Stegostoma tigrinum: one gene and its partner. The protein of the gene in region 2 interacts with the protein of the main gene of each other region in a pairwise test. Links are inferred from orthologs where the notes say so. Each region holds a gene or a part of one and is shown on either strand. Other genes may lie near its edges.

What was found. The genes of interacting proteins can lie anywhere in the genome.
Region 1: the proteins of cdh31 (region 2) and E3 ubiquitin-protein ligase Hakai interact in a two-hybrid assay, tested with the Homo sapiens proteins (2 studies listed by BioGRID, with this or other methods). The link is inferred for Stegostoma tigrinum from reciprocal best matches to the Homo sapiens genes CDH1 and CBLL1.

What each region holds. Positions count from the first base shown.
Region 1 is NC_081378.1:53,898,096-53,906,086, reverse strand, and holds the start of E3 ubiquitin-protein ligase Hakai, read left to right. Parts: upstream 1-4,801; 5' UTR 4,802-4,834; coding exon 4,835-4,844; intron 4,845-4,942; exon of another isoform or gene 4,943-5,050; intron 5,051-7,785; coding exon 7,786-7,953; intron 7,954-7,991. UniProt on the Homo sapiens protein: E3 ubiquitin-protein ligase that mediates ubiquitination of several tyrosine-phosphorylated Src substrates, including CDH1, CTTN and DOK1. Targets CDH1 for endocytosis and degradation.
Region 2 is NC_081369.1:40,081,839-40,089,701, forward strand, and holds the start of cdh31 (B-cadherin), read left to right. Parts: upstream 1-4,617; 5' UTR 4,618-4,711; coding exon 4,712-4,858; intron 4,859-5,135; coding exon 5,136-5,235; intron 5,236-7,863.

The sequences.
Region 1 (7,991 bases), on a different chromosome or scaffold from region 2:
ATCTCTCACTCCACCTCTCCCCGTCTATTTCTCCTCTCTTGCACTCTTTCACTCCACCTCTCTCTCGACTTCTCCTCTCTTGCACTCTCTCACTCCATCTCTCTCTATTTCTCCTCTCTCGCGCTCTCTCACTCCACCTCTCTCTCTCTCTCCCTCCATTTCTCCTCTCTTGCACTCGCTCACTCCATCTCTATTTCTCCTCTCTTGCACTCTCTCACTCCACCTCTCTGTCTCTCCACTTCTCCTCACTTGCACTCTCTCACTCCACCTCTCACTCTCTCTATTTCTCCTCTCTTGCATCTCTAACTCCACCTCTCTCCACGTCTATTTCTTCTCTCTTGCACTCTCTCACTCCATCTTTCTCTCTCTCTCGCTCTATTTCCCCTCTCTCGTACTCTCTAACTCCACCTCTCTCTCTATTTCTCCTCTCTTGCATCTCTCACTCGACCTCTCTCTCTCTATTTCTCCTCTCTTGCACTCTCTCACACCACCTCTATTTCTCCTCTCTTGCACTCTCTCACACCACCTCTCTCTATTTCTTCTCTCTTGCATGTCTCACTCCACGTCCCTCTCTCTCTATTGCTCCTCTCTTGCACTCCCTCACTCCACCCCTCTCTCTCTCTATTTCTCCTCTCTTGCACTCTCTCACACCACCTCTCTCTCTCTCTCTATTTCTCCTCTCTTGCATTCTATCACACCATCACTCTCTGTTTCTCCTCTCTTGCATCTCTCACTCCACCTCTCTCTCTCCCTCTCTCTGTATTTCTCCTCCCTTGCATCTCTCACTCCACCTCTCCCCGTGTATTTCTCCTCTCTCGCACTCTCTCACTCCACCCCTCTCTCTCTATTTCTCCTCTCTTGCATACTCTCACTCCACCTCACTCTCTATTTCTCCTCTCTTGCACTCTCTCACTCCACCTCTCTCTCTGTCTCTATTTCTCCTCTCCTGCACTCTCTCACTCCACCTCTCTCTATTTTTCCTCTCTTGCGCTCTCACTCCATCTCTCTCTCTCTCTATTTCTCCTCACTCGCACTCTCTCACTCAATCTCTCTCTCTCTCCACTTCTCCTCTCTTGCACTCTCTCACTCCACCTCTCTCTCTCTCTCTCTCTATTTCTCCTCTCTTGCATCTCTCACGCCACCTCTCTCTCTCTCTATTTCTCCTCTCTTGCACTCTCTCACTCAACCTCTCTCTCTCTATTTCTCCTCTCTTGCATCTCTCACTCCACCTCTCCCCGTGTATTTCTCCTCTATTGCACTCTCTCACTCCACCTCTCTATTTCTAATCTCTAGCACTCTCTCACTCCACCTCTCTCTCTCTATTACACCTCTCTTGCACTCTCTCACTCCACCTCTCTCTCTCTCTATTTCTCCTCTCTTGCACTCCCTCACTCCATCTCTCTCTCGCTCTCTATTACACCTCTCTTGCACTCTCTCACTCCACCCCTCTCTGTCTATTTCTCCTCTCTTGCACTCTCTCACTCCACCTCTCTCTCTCTATTTCTCCCCTCTTGCACTCTCTCACTCCACCTCTCTCTCTCAACTTCTCCTCTCTTGCACTCTCTCACTCCATCTTTCTCTATTTCTCCTCTCTTGCATCTCTCACGCCACCTCTCTCTCTCTCTCTCTCTATTTCTTCTCTCTTGCACTCTCTCACTCCATCTCTCTCTATTTCTCCTCTCTTGCACTCTCTCACTCCACCTCTCCCCCTCTATTTCTCCTCTCTTGCATCTCTCACTCCACCTCTCTCCCCCTCTATTTCTTCTCTCCTGCACTCTCTCACTCCATCCCTCTCTCTCTATTTCTCCTCTCTTGCATCTCTCACTCCACCTCTCTCCCCCTCTATTTCTTCTCTCTTGCACTCTCTCACTCCACCTCTCTCTCTCTCTATTTCTGCTCTCTTGCACTCGGTCACTCCATCTCTCTCTATTTCTCCTCTCTTGCACTCTCTCACTCCACCTCTCCCCCTCTATTTCTCCTCTCTTGCACTCTCTCTGTCTCTCCACTTCTCCTCTCTTGCACTCTCTCACTCCACCTCTCCCCCTCTATTTCTCCTCTCTTGCACTCTGTCTCTCCACTTCTCCTCTCTTGCACTCTCTCACTCCACCTCTTTATATTTCTTCTCTCTTGCATGTCTCACTCCACCTCCCTCTCTCTCTATTTCTCCTCACTTGCACTCTCTCACTCCATCTCTCTCTATTTCTCCTCTCTCGCGCTCTCTCACTCCACCTCTCTCTCTCTATTTCTCCTCTCTTGCACTCTCTCACTCCATCTCGCTCTCTCTCTCCCTCCATTTCTCCTCTCTTGCACTCGCTCACTCCACCTCTCTGTCTCTCCACTTCTCCTCACTTGCATTCTCTCACTCCACCTCTCACTCTCTCTATTTCTCCTCTCTTGCATCTCTAACTCCACCTCTCTCCACCTCTATTTCTTCTCTCTTGCACTCTCTCACTCCATCTCTCTCTCTCGCTCTATTTCTCCTCTCTCGCACTCTCTCACTCCACTTCTCTCTCTCTCTCTATTTCTCCTCACGCACTCTCACAGTCCACCTCTCTCTCTCTCTCTCTCTCTATTTCTCCTCTCTTGCATCTCTCACTCGACCTCTCTCTCTCTATTTCTCCTCTCTTGCATCTCTCACTCGACCTCTCTCTCTCTACTTCTCCTCTCTTGCACTCTCTCACTCCAGCTCTCTCTCTCTCTCTCTCTCTCTCTATTTCTCCTCTCTTGCACTCTCTCACACCACCTCTCTCTATTTCTTCTCTCTTGCATGTCTCACTCCACGTCCCTCTCTCTCTCTATTGCTCCTCTCTTGCACTCCCTCACTCCACCTCTCTCTCTCTCTATTTCTCCTCTCTTGCGCTCTCTCACTCCACCTCTCTCTCTATTTCTCCTCTCTTGCATCTCTCACTCCACCTCTCTCTCTCTATTTCTCTTCGCTTGCACTCTCTCACTCGAGCTCTCAGCCTCTATTTCTCCTCTCTTGCACTCTCTCACTCCACCTCTCTCTACTTCTCCTCTCTTGCACTCTCTCACTCCAGCTCTCTCACTCTCTCTATTTCTCCTCTCTCGCACTCTCTCACTCCACCTCACTCTCTGTCCATTTCTCCTCTCTTCCACTCTCTCACTCCACCCCTCTCTCTCTATTTCTCATCTCTTGCACTCTCTCACTCCACCTCTCCCCCTCTATTTCTCCTCTCTTGCACTCTCTGTCTCTCCACTTCTCCTCTCTTGCACTCTCTCACTCCACCTCTTTATATTTCTTCTCTCTTGCATGTCTCACTCCACCTCCCTCTCTCTCTATTTCTCCTCACTTGCACTCTCTCACTCCACCTCTCTCTCGCTATTTCTCCTCACCTGCACTCGCTCACTCCACGTCTCTCTTTCTATTTCTCCTCTCTTACATCTCTCACTCCACCTCTCCCCGTCTATTTCTCCTCTCTTGCACTCTTTCACTCCACCTCTCTCTCGACTTCTCCTCTCTTGCACTCTCTCACTCCATCTCTCTCTATTTCTCCTCTCTCGCGCTCTCTCACTCCACCTCTCTCTCTCTCTCCCTCCATTTCTCCTCTCTTGCACTCGCTCACTCCATCTCTATTTCTCCTCTCTTGCACTCTCTCACTCCACCTCTCTGTCTCTCCACTTCTCCTCACTTGCACTCTCTCACTCCACCTCTCACTCTCTCTATTTCTCCTCTCTTGCACTCTCTCACTCAACCTCTCTCTCTCTATTTCTCCTCTCTTGCATCTCTCACTCCACCTCTCCCCGTGTATTTCTCCTCTATTGCACTCTCTCACTCCACCTCTCTATTTCTAATCTCTAGCACTCTCTCACTCCACCTCTCTCTCTCTATTACACCTCTCTTGCACTCTCTCACTCCACCTCTCTCTCTCTCTATTTCTCCTCTCTTGCACTCCCTCACTCCATCTCTCTCTCGCTCTCTATTACACCTCTCTTGCACTCTCTCACTCCACCCCTCTCTGTCTATTTCTCCTCTCTTGCACTCTCTCACTCCACCTCTCTCTCTCTATTTCTCCCCTCTTGCACTCTCTCACTCCACCTCTCTCTCTCAACTTCTCCTCTCTTGCACTCTCTCACTCCATCTTCCTCTATTTCTCCTCTCTTGCATCTCTCACGCCACCTCTCTCTCTATCTATTTCTCCTCTCTTGCACTCTTTCACTCCACCTCTCTCTCTATTTCTCCTCTCTTGCACTCTCTCACTCCATCTCTCTCTATGTCTCCTCTCTTGCACCGTCTCACTGCACCTCTCTCTTTATGTCTCCTCTCGCGCTCTCTCACTCCACCTCTCTCTCTATTTCTTCTGTCGCACTCTCGCACTCCACCTCTCCCTCCCTCTCTTGTCTCCCCCCCCCCCCTCCCCCTCCCCCTCCCCCCCCTCCCCCTCCCCCCCCTCCCCCTCCCCCTCCCCCCCCCCTCCCCCCCCCCCCCCCCCTCCCCCCCCCCCCCTCCCCCTCCCCCCCCCCTCCCCCTCCCCCTCCCCCCCCCCCCCTCCCCCTCCCCCTCCCCCCCCCCCCCTCCCCCCCCCCCCCCCCTCCCCCTCCCCCTCCCCCTCCCCCCCCCCCCTCCCCCCCCCCCTCCTCCCCCCCCCTCCCCCCCCCCCCTCCTCCCCCCCCCTCCCCCCCCCCCCTCCTCCCCCTCCCTCCCCCCCCCCCCTCCTCCCCCCCCCTCCCCCCCCCTCCTCCCCTCCTCCCCCCCCCTCCCCCCCCCTCCTCCCCCCCCCTCGTGTGTATTGCTGCGGTTCTCCCCGCCCCGTCCCGTCTCTTGTTGCCCCGGTGACCCTCACCACGCCCCCAATCCCACAATGCTCCTCTCACCATGGATCAGGGTAATGGACGTTTTTCTCCCGCTTTCCCTTCCTCTCTCGCTTTTCCTTTCTTCTTCGCGCCGGGTTTGGGCCCCGTGCGTTCTCTCCGGTTGCTGCGGGAGGCGAGTCTGTCAACGCGCCCGACTGTGAGTAACCTCCGGCTGGAGCGGGACTGAGGCGGCTTGACGATTACTCGAGAGCGGCCTAAACCGCCCGGAGTCCCCGCGGTAAAGTGCCGGACCGCCTGTCGCTGTGATCACCACTCCCCTCCTTCCTCCCATGCACTCTCTACACCTTGATTATCCCCATCGCCCTGATCTTGCTCCGACACCCTGATCATCGCCTACTCTCATCCCACCCCCCCCGCACTCCTTCATCTTCCCCCCTCACCTCCCCCCCCCACTCCCTCACCTCCCCCCCCACTCCCTCACCTCCCCCCCCACTCCCTCACCTCCCCCCCCCAACTCCCTCACCTCCCCCCCCCACTCCCTCACCTCCCCCCCCCACTCCCTCACCTCCCCCCCCCACTCCCTCACCTCCCCCCCCCACTCCCTCACCTCCCCCCCCCACTCCCTCACCTCCCCCCCCCACTCCCTCACCTCCCCCCCCCCACTCCCTCACCTCCCCCCCCCACTCCCTCACCTCCCCCCCCCACTCCCTCACCTCCCCCCCCCTCCCTCACCTCCCCCCCCCACTCCCTCACCTCCCCCCCCACTCCCTCACCTCCCCCCCCACTCCCTCACCTCCCCCCCCACTCCCTCACCTCCCCCCCCACTCCCTCACCTCCCCCCACTCCCTCACCTCCCCCCACTCCCTCACCTCCCCCCACTCCCTCACCTCCCCCCACTCCCTCACCTCCCCCCACTCCCTCATCTCCCCCCACTCCCTCATCTCCCCCCACTCCCTCATCTCACCCCCCTCCCCCTCCTCACCTACCCCCCTCCCCCTCCTCACCCCCCCTCCCCCTCATCTCACCCCCCCTCCCCCTCATCTCACCCCCCCTCCCCCTCATCTCACCCCCCCTCCCCCTCATCTCACCCCCCCTCCCCCTCATCTCACCCCCCCTCCCCCTCATCTCACCCCCCCTCCCCCTCATCTCACTCCCCCTCCCCCTCATCTCACCCCCCCTCCCCCTCATCTCACCCCCCCTCCCCCTCATCTCACCCCCCCTCCCCCTCATCTCACCCCCCCTCCCCCTCATCTCACCCCCCCTCCCCCTCATCTCACCCCCCCTCCCCCTCATCTCACCTCCCCCTCCCCCTCACCCCCCCTCCCCCTCATCTCACCCCCCCCTCATCTCACCCCCCCCTCATCTCACCCCCCCTCCCCCTCATCTCACCCCCCCTCCCCCTCATCTCACCCCCCCTCCCCCTCATCTCACCCCCCCTCCCCCTCATCTCACCCCCCCTCCCCCTCATCTCACCCCCCCTCCCCCTCATCTCACCCCCCCTCCCCCTCATCTCACCCCCCCTACCCCTCATCTCACCCCCCCTACCCCTCATCTCACCCCCCCTACCCCTCATCTCACCCCCCCTACCCCTCATCTCACCCCCCCTACCCCTCATCTCACCCCCCCTCCCCCTCATCTCACCCCCCCTCCCCCTCATCTCACCCCCCCTCCCCCTCATCTCACCCCCCCTACCCCTCATCTCACCCCCCCTACCCCTCATCTCACCCCCCCTACCCCTCATCTCACCCCCCTCCCCCTCATCTCCCCCCCTCCCCCTCATCTCCCCCCCCCTCCCCCTCATCTCCCCCCCCTCCCCCTCATCTCCCCCCCCCCCCTCATCTCCCTCCCTCCCCCTCATCTCCCCCCCCCACTCCCTCATCTCCCCCCCCACTCCCTCATCTCCCCCCCCCACTCCCTCATCTCCCCCCCCCACTCCCTCATCTCCCCCCCCACTCCCTCATCTCCCCCCCCCCACTCCCTCATCTCCCCCCCCCCACTCCCTCATCTCCCCCCCCCCACTCCCTCATCTCCCCCCCCCCACTCCCTCATCTCCCCCCCCCCACTCCCTCATCTCCCCCCCCCCCACTCCCTCCTCTCCCCCCCCCACTCCCTCCTCTCCCCCCCACTCCCTCCTCTCCCCCCCACTCCCTCCTCTCCCCCCCACTCCCTCATCTCCCCCCCCCACTCCCTCATCTCCCCCCCCCACTCCCTCATCTCCCCCCCCACTCCCTCCTCTCCCCCCCCACTCCCTCCTCTCCCCCCCCACTCCCTCCTCTCCCCCCCACTCCCTCCTCTCCCCCCCCACTCCCTCCTCTCCCCCCCCACTCCCTCCTCTCCCCCCCCCACTCCCTCCTCTCCCCCCCCACTCCCTCCTCTCCCCCCCCACTCCCTCCTCTCCCCCCCCACTCCCTCCTCTCCCCCCCCACTCCCTCCTCTCCCCCCCCACTCCCTCCTCTCCCCCCCCACTCCCTCATCTCCCCCCCCCACTCCCTCATCTCCCCCCCCCCACTCCCTCATCTCCCCCCCCCCACTCCCTCATCTCCCCCCCCCCACTCCCTCATCTCCCCCCCCCACTCCCTCATCTCCCCCCCCCACTCCCTCATCTCCCCCCCCCACTCCCTCATCTCCCCCCCCACTCCCTCATCTCCCCCCCCACTCCCTCATCTCCCCCCCCACTCCCTCATCTCCCCCCCCCACTCCCTCATCTCCCCCCCCCCACTCCCTCATCTCCCCCGATCTCCTTCCCACCCGCTGATCCCCACCCTGATCCCCCCCGACCCCACCCTGATCCCCCCCCGACTCCTCTTCCCTCACCCTTGTATAGCCCTCTCCCTCTTCCACGATGCCCTCTTATCCCACTTTCTCCCCTGCACCCTTTCCCCCAGACCCCTCCCATACCCTACCCTACCCATTCTTTCCTCCCCCCTTTGCACTCCCCCACCTCCAGCCGCCAGTATTGCGCATAAGCAGAAAGTCATGTATTTAAGACGTTTTTTGTTTTATTTTCAAAAGATAAAGATCTGCAAGGCACAGATGGTTCTGGATGTCTGAGTGGCATTGATGTTCGAAGACGTATCCCCATCAAGTTAATCTCTAAACAGTCTAACCGAAATAGAATCTCATCCCGTGTTCAGAGGAATATGAGCAGAAACTCTGCAAAGTCTCTCACTGCAGATGAAGGTGACAGGATGATAGCTTCATTACAAAATCAGGTTAAA
Region 2 (7,863 bases):
CACACCCTTACCACTCTCTGAGTAAAGAACCTGCCTCTGACATCTGTCTTAAATCTTTCACCCCTCAGTTTGTAGCTATGCCCCCTCGTATAAGCTGAAGTCATCATCCTCGGAAAAAGACTCTCACTGTCCACCCTATCTAATCCTCCGTTGGTCTTACATAAGTAAACTCTGTGGCTAATTAAGATTTGGATTTTTTTGTTTATTCATATAGGCATCACTGCCTAGGCCAGAATTTATTGCCCATTCCTAATTGCCCAGACAGCAGTTAAGAGTCAATCACATTACTGTAGGCCAGACCAGGTAAGAATGGCAGATGTCCTTCCCTAAAGCACATTTGTGATCCATGTTTTTTTTGTGACGACTAAAGGACAGTGGTTATACTGTCACCATTAATGATAGCTTTTTATTCTAGGATTTTATTGAATTACAATGTCATCATCTGCCAGAATACTGAATTCAAGTACTAGATTACTATCGCACTGACATCACCACTACACCATAATTGTGTACATTCAAGCACCGGGAAGATGTTGTTTGAGGCACATCTTAAAGTCTAATAAATGGCAAGATTTTTGTTTCATCTCAAGATTCTACAGCTTGACATGATTAATAAGAAAAAACATTCTAAAAATGGTGCAGTAAATTATTTTAGACTGATGATTAATTATTGGGATGGATATCTGTTAAGGATTGCCTGTGAATAGTGACAAGTATCTGCACAAACATCAGAATTATGACTGATTATACTAGATTGTTTCAGTGATTGACAAGAAATTTGGCTTACATCTATGTAAAACCTGACCTCTTCTTCCAAGCATTCAAAAGTATTCCAGTCAGTGATTACACTAATCATTTTATGAGGTACAAAGCAATTTGGTTTTGGTAGTAACAGTTAAGAGACAAATATTGGACAACTTCAGCTTTATATAGTTGTATATGATCTATGCAGCCTTGCTGGAGCAGGGAGGACACAATTTTATTTATCATGTAAATGGCACACCCTTGAAAATACAGCACCTGCCAATTCTTGACTTGAAGACTATTTTATAATACTATATGTAATTTTTTTACTAGGTCATATGCTACATGTACAGGCATGCAAGTAATAGGGTACTGTTGAGTCAGCCTGCAGATAGAAACCAATTCTCTAACAAGAACACAAAGCACAAAGTGTTGGAAAAGAGCCTAATGTGGCACCAACAACTTCAAAGTAAGCTGATATATTGCACAATAATCTGTGTTGCAAACTGTGAAATTCCTTTCACAGGACTGCAGCAAGAGCTCATGAGATCAGGTGTTAGTACACTGGCGCAGGGGAGAGGAATATTCCTACCCCATCCCATTACAGCAACAATTTTCATAAGAAAATGATCAAATTCAATGTTAATGTTTGCTTTGGTAAAGGGAATTCAGAATTTTTTTAATCTTAGGCATTCCTTAAGATCCCAAGCCAGCTACAGAATTAAATTTTGCACAGAGATGTGGTAAGCTGGAAAGGCTTTCTAAGTACTGACACATCGGTGTTAGAATCAAAACAGGCTCCCAACCCCACATACCAGGATCAATATGTATTAAGACTGACTTTTTTGCTCCCCAATCCAGGCATCTGCCAATCCTAAACAGTGAGTGTACAAATATACCCTACAAGCTAATAACTATGTTTATTCTGTCCCAATTTCAGAATATCTAGGGTAAAATTGAAAAACTGCAAATAGAAAGTGGCAGGGACTAGGAAGTGTACACACACAGGCATGTTCAATTTCCTCCTTCATCAGCAATGTTGGTGATTTAGGCAGTGCAAAGATTCTTGCATTCGCAACAGGCAAGTGTCACTGTGTGAGCAACTCAGTTGAAGCTTTGGGTAAAGATAGATAAAAATGCCCTGTTGATTAACTTTCCAATCAGCATGGCTACAAAAGCATCATTTCTCTTTCCATTTCTGGATTAGATGCAGCGCAGCAACTGTTTCAGGATTACATTTCACACCAAAAGCCACATCCTCACAGACACATTAGTTGATCACAGAAACTTTAACTGCATCGTTCTTAAATAGTTTAGAGAATGTTTCCTCTGGTACATAGACTCCATGTGGTGACATCCAAATATATTGATAAAGATTTCCTCTGTTTGCTATTTCTAACAACGTTGTAAACACATTGAAAAATATTTTTATTGATTCACTCCACACCGTAAACAGAGCAAGGCCTGAAAGCTTATTTGTACAGTTCTCATTTTTCAGCCACGCCTGACATTGGTCTTCCTCATTAGTATATAAGTGCTCAATGTTTTGTGGCCTTCCCACTGGTTGCTTACATTGCATGCAGTCAATGCTGCATCTGGAACACGCCTCAATTGAGGAATGATCCAATTTCTCAGCCAAAACCCTCATAAATGTGTGATTGACCACAAGAACTCGAACTACATCATCCTTGTTTGGCTGCGTGCTCACCAATCCCAACACTTCCTGCTGAAAATCTTGCTGACATAACTAATAGTCCTCTGGGCAAGGTACCAACAAGATATGTCTGTGTTGATTCTAATGCATTACCCCTCTTTATTCCCTTCGATCTCTGCAAAGTCCCAGTCCTCTTCCACTGCCTCACTGCCATACCACCAGCCTCCAGCTGCAGCCAGTACATTGTTTCACTCTACTTAACAGGATATATCCTTTTGAAGCCATTGTCCAGTGATTCCCAGAGTGGAAGTAATCTAAGTAGATGTACTCTGAGGTCAATTTGTGACTACTTGTTTGTGATTTTACATATAAATGAATTTGGGAGCATTTTCTGTCAATTGCAACCTACAAATCCAGGTCTACGCCCTTTAGGGAGATAACTCTACTGCAGATTTAGCAGATGTGGGAGGACATCACCACCTTCAAATTCCCTTCAAAACACATACTCTCTTGACTTGGAAATGTATTGCTGTTGCTTCACTGTCCCTGGGTCATTACCATGGAACTCCCACCCTAACAGTATAGGTGGTTTACTTTGATTACACAGACTGCAGCAGTTCAATAAAGGAAGAAATTATTTACATTTACTGCCTTTTAAATTTTAGCTATGATGAAATGTCACAGATATCTACTAAATAGAGTCATACAGCATGGAAATAGACCCTTTCGTCCAACTCGTCTATGCCTACCAGATATCCTGAATTTATCTAGGTGTGGAGCTGGAGGAACATGGCAGCCCAGGCAGCATCAGAGAAGCAGGAAAGCTTCTCTGATGCTGCGTGGCCTGCTGTGTTCCTCCAGCTCCACACCTTGTTACCTCAGACTCCAGCATCAGCAGTTCCTACTATTCCTGAATTTATCTAATCCCATTTGACAGCTTTTGGCCCGTATCTCTCTTAACCCTTCCTATTCATATACCCACGCAGAAGCCTTTTAAATGTTGTCATTGTAACAGCCTCCATCACTTCCTCTGGCAGCTCATTCCATGCACACACCACCCTCTGGGTGAAAATGTTGCCCCGTAGGTCCCTTTTAAATCTTTCTCCTCACATAAAACCTATGCCCTCCAGTTTTGGACTCCTCCACCCTGGGGAAATGACCTTGTCTATTCACTATATCTATGCCTCCTCATCATTTTACAAACTTCTATAAGCCTCTGATGCTCCAGGGAAAATAGCCCCAGTCCATTTAGCCTCTCCCTATTGCTCAAACACTCCAACCCTGGCAGCATCTTTGTAAATCTTTACTGAACACTTAAAACTTTAACAACATCGAATGCAGTATTCCAAAAGAGCCCCAACCAACGTTCTGCACATCAGTATCATGACCTCCCAACTCCTTTACTCAAAGCAACAAAGGCAAGCAGGCTAAATCCCGTCTTCACTATCCTATGTACCTGCGGACTCTACTGTCAAGCAGCAAGTGTTTATATACAGACACAATAGTTGCATGATGATGTCCTGGTTGGAAAAAAAAACACTGAATAAGGTTTTCTGTATTTGAAACAACGGCATGTATTTCTAAAGCACGTTTAACAGTTGTAAGGAGTGTCCTGAAAGGGGTACAAAAGGACGGGGAGATTTCGAGATTAACTTCTAATGAAGGAGAATCTGCTAAAGTTGACTCAATTAACATCGGGGCTGCTGATCCACGCCAGAAACAAGGGAGGGTTGATGAAAGACTAAATTTCGCTAGACTGCCCTCCTCTCTAGAAATTCTGGTTTACAGAGAAATGACTCCTATACATTTCATCATCTAGAATGGCTTCACGATAGACAATATCTGAACTTGAATTCTCTCCAAATATGCAGAACAGTTGCCTTAAGTTAGCACTGTCTACTCCAGTCACCCTTGTTTGGAATGTAACCTCCTTTTTCACCGATCTGTGCTGGGGTCAAACTCGACATTAATGCAGGCGCTGCCCAGATCCACAGTACACAAATGGGATTGATGCCAACTTTCCAAGAGGCCGCTGTCCAGATAGTTTACACTTAGCAAGTTATTTTGATGCCCGCTCCTTCCAGTAAACGGCATCATTTCCGCCACCTTCCCCTGAAACTGGGAGTGGGGGAATTTATTACAACAGTTTCAATCACTGGGAGCTGAGAGCGTCGGTGCGTCGCCGCCGCCTTTACCTGACGCCAGCTTTACCCAAAATTGGATACAAGCATCCGGGCGTCAGCCAATGAGAGAGAAACTCACCTGGAGACGTCACCTGGATTGGCAGCGATTGGCTTCCAGTTTTGGAGAAGGATGGTGATCGGAGAGAAGGGGAAAGTCAGTGAGAACGAGGAGGTGGAATTCAGAGGCAACAGGCACAACGCGTTTTGGAAACTGACTCGTAACCCAATGGGGAGTTACAGGCTGTCGTTTCTGGGGATAGTCACCCTCCTGCTCCAGGTGAGTGAGTTCTACTTCTCACGAGGTTAGACCGTGTACATCTGAATTCTGGCGAAGGGAGGGGGGCAAGACCTCCGGTTTGTTACACGGTTCCCCTAGCCCTGCACTCCATATCTTCAGTTTCGTATCAATTTCATTATCGGCTGAGCTTTCATCCGAGCGAGTGCGAATTATCCCCGTTGCCGCGGCGGGGGACCCGGTGTGAGCTGTAAACGGAGGGGAAGGATGGATTTGTGTTTGGTACTTTTATTTGATGTTAACCTGTCCGTATCCACAGGTTTGGAGCGGCGAGGCATCGACTGGATGTAAAGGGTTCGAGCCAAAGAGCTACACTTTCAGGGAGCCGTCAGTGGAGGTGGGACAAGTTCTGGGCAGAGGTAAGAGTTCAGGAAAGTACGTGAGGATCGGCGGGGATTTCACACGGAGAAATGCGGAAGCGAGACTGAGAACCTTGGGGGTGGGAACACAGAAAAGGGATCGAGAATCCTTTCCGGATCCCTAAGAAAAAGGGATCCAGTGAGAAGGAATTGAATTTTTTTTAAAAGTGCCCTCGGTTGTAGAAGAATCCGAGATCCCGTTTCTTTTCGCAACCCCCCTCTCTTTTACCGGAGGAATTGGTGATAAATACATTCACAGAGAATATCTGCTGCCTGTGTTGAGGGCGGTGGCTGGACTTTCGATTCTGCTGGTCTCGCCTTTTGTTCAACTTCTTGTTCAATCTTCAACTATAGCCGTGCTACCTTTTATATTCCCAAATTCTCCAATATTGGCAAGGAAATTTCAGGTTTTAACATGAGTGGGGACCCTGTTTGTTTCCTAGTGGACTGTTTGTGTTTCGAGTGCAGTGAAAGGAAGGAGAGCTCGGATGAGAGAGTTCTATCAGCGTTTCTACACTAACAACCCCCTGATCTAATCTAAAGAGGTCTCGAGTGTGTGTCATAGATATTATTTTAATTTCTCTACAAAATTTTAACTAATCATGGTGCACAATGCTGTGGTCAGTGAATTACTGTTACTAACATCTGCTCAGTACAGCTAAGTCGGAGAAACACGTTGTCAAAATCACCCTAAGGCTTGTACAAAATTAATTTAATTTTCTGGGAAAAGCCCCGGAACACTCTTTTAGCTTCCAAACAGCCCCGATCAGATTATAATGCGTTTTACCAACTAGGTGATCCCTTTTAAAGCACTGAATTATCTCTTTTACGTTTTAACCAGCTGTCCTATTTTTCATTCTATAAATTCCTGCTAACTTCATTCAGGGGAAATTGGTAATTGATTCCATTGTTTGCTCCTTATTTTCTCTACTTGTTGAAATCCCCTGTGTGATGACTTGATTTAATTTTACAAAATGGATGCCACCCAAGTTTCACAAAACAAAGTCCAGCTCACCTGAAAATGTCTTCTGCCTGTCGGAGAATAGGGCCACTAAAACAAATACTTTCTATCAAAGGTTTTCTGTCCCTCGACTGAAATTAATTGGTCAGTCTTTGGAGAAACTGAACTTTGAAGTCCTTGGATTTCAGTTGAGATTTGTTCTCCAAAGTTTCTGAGGTCCCTTTGGGGAACGTACTTATGGCTTTCATTGTGGAAACAGCCAAGACATTTTCTTAAAAACTCGTGTGGGTGGCCTGTCAGAAATTACTGCTGTCTCATCAACACATTTTAATTTGGTGTCACATTGCACTCTGACTTATTTATAGAAGTCAAATTGACAACAAAAAAACTTTTTCCAGTTATTCAATCAAGTGCTACATTCCAATGTCAATGAACGAGATTTGCTGTCTGTACACAGTTTATGCGCATGCCCTCTCTGTATTATCAGGATAAATATAAATGACTCAAATATTATTCCAAACCAAGACTACAAAGCATGCAGATGAAGTGGTTTATTGTGAAGAGGGATTTGTGTGCGTTGAAGAGATTCGTTATTATGCATGAATTGGGTAGTCAAAATGCTGTAAAGACTTTCTGAACACATGACAAAATAATGTGTCCAATCTTGCGTGTCTGTTTTCTTGCCAATTGTTTTACTATGTTTGTCTCTAGTCAATTTAAATTCTCGTGATTTTTGTTTATGTTCGTCATTTCACGGTGATCAGGACAACAAAAGCGTGAAGAGTTGTATAACAAGGAAAATGGTTCCTTTTCATTTACTGCAACTGGTATTTTGGCTTTTAGAGATGATAGGAACTGCAGATGCTGGAGAATCTGAGATAACAAGATGAGAGGCTGGATGTACACAGCAGGCCAAGCAGCATCTCAGGAGCAGGAAAGCTGACATTGTGGGCCTAAACACGAATAAGACTAATAATCTCCTTCATTCTTTTGAAATAAAAAAAACGATTTTTCTGATGAGGGGTCTAGGCCCAAAACGTCAGCATTCCTGCTCAGCCTCCTGTGTTCATCCAGCTCCACACGTTGTTATCTTGGCTTTTAGAGATGAATGTACTTTTGTTTCAATGTTTTTTGATGTAATGTATGATAGCTCATATACTGTGGGAAATGACAAGTCTTGCCACTTCATTTCACTCTGTATGCCTTTATCATGTAAGCCAAAACTTGAGTTATAGTGGAAATAGTCAGTGGTGTGTCTCCAAATGCATGCTTATGATGCTTGAGTGTCTGATATTGAGCTACGAGCTGATGCTTTTTCCTAGAAATCCTTTCTACCCTGTAATAATTTAAATTTAATTTTAAAATTAATTTAAAACTTAATACATTTGATTAATTTTGATACATCTTTTTTTGGGCAGGCTGTTGTTTTGTTAATTGCCTCTGTTTTCAACCTCTTGTATTTGTCATTATCCTAAGTAAATTTGTATGTTTTTTAGTTTTGTCTTGTTGTTCCCCTCTCTGAGCGAAGCAGAGCATATGTCAATTTTATCATTTAAACTACTACTCTGAGGTTAGCTAACACAGTCTATAACAGAAATCCTTTGGCCTCTTGGGCTTAGCTGTACACTCAGGATTTAAAATAATGTCTTCTCTTCACTCTGATCTAA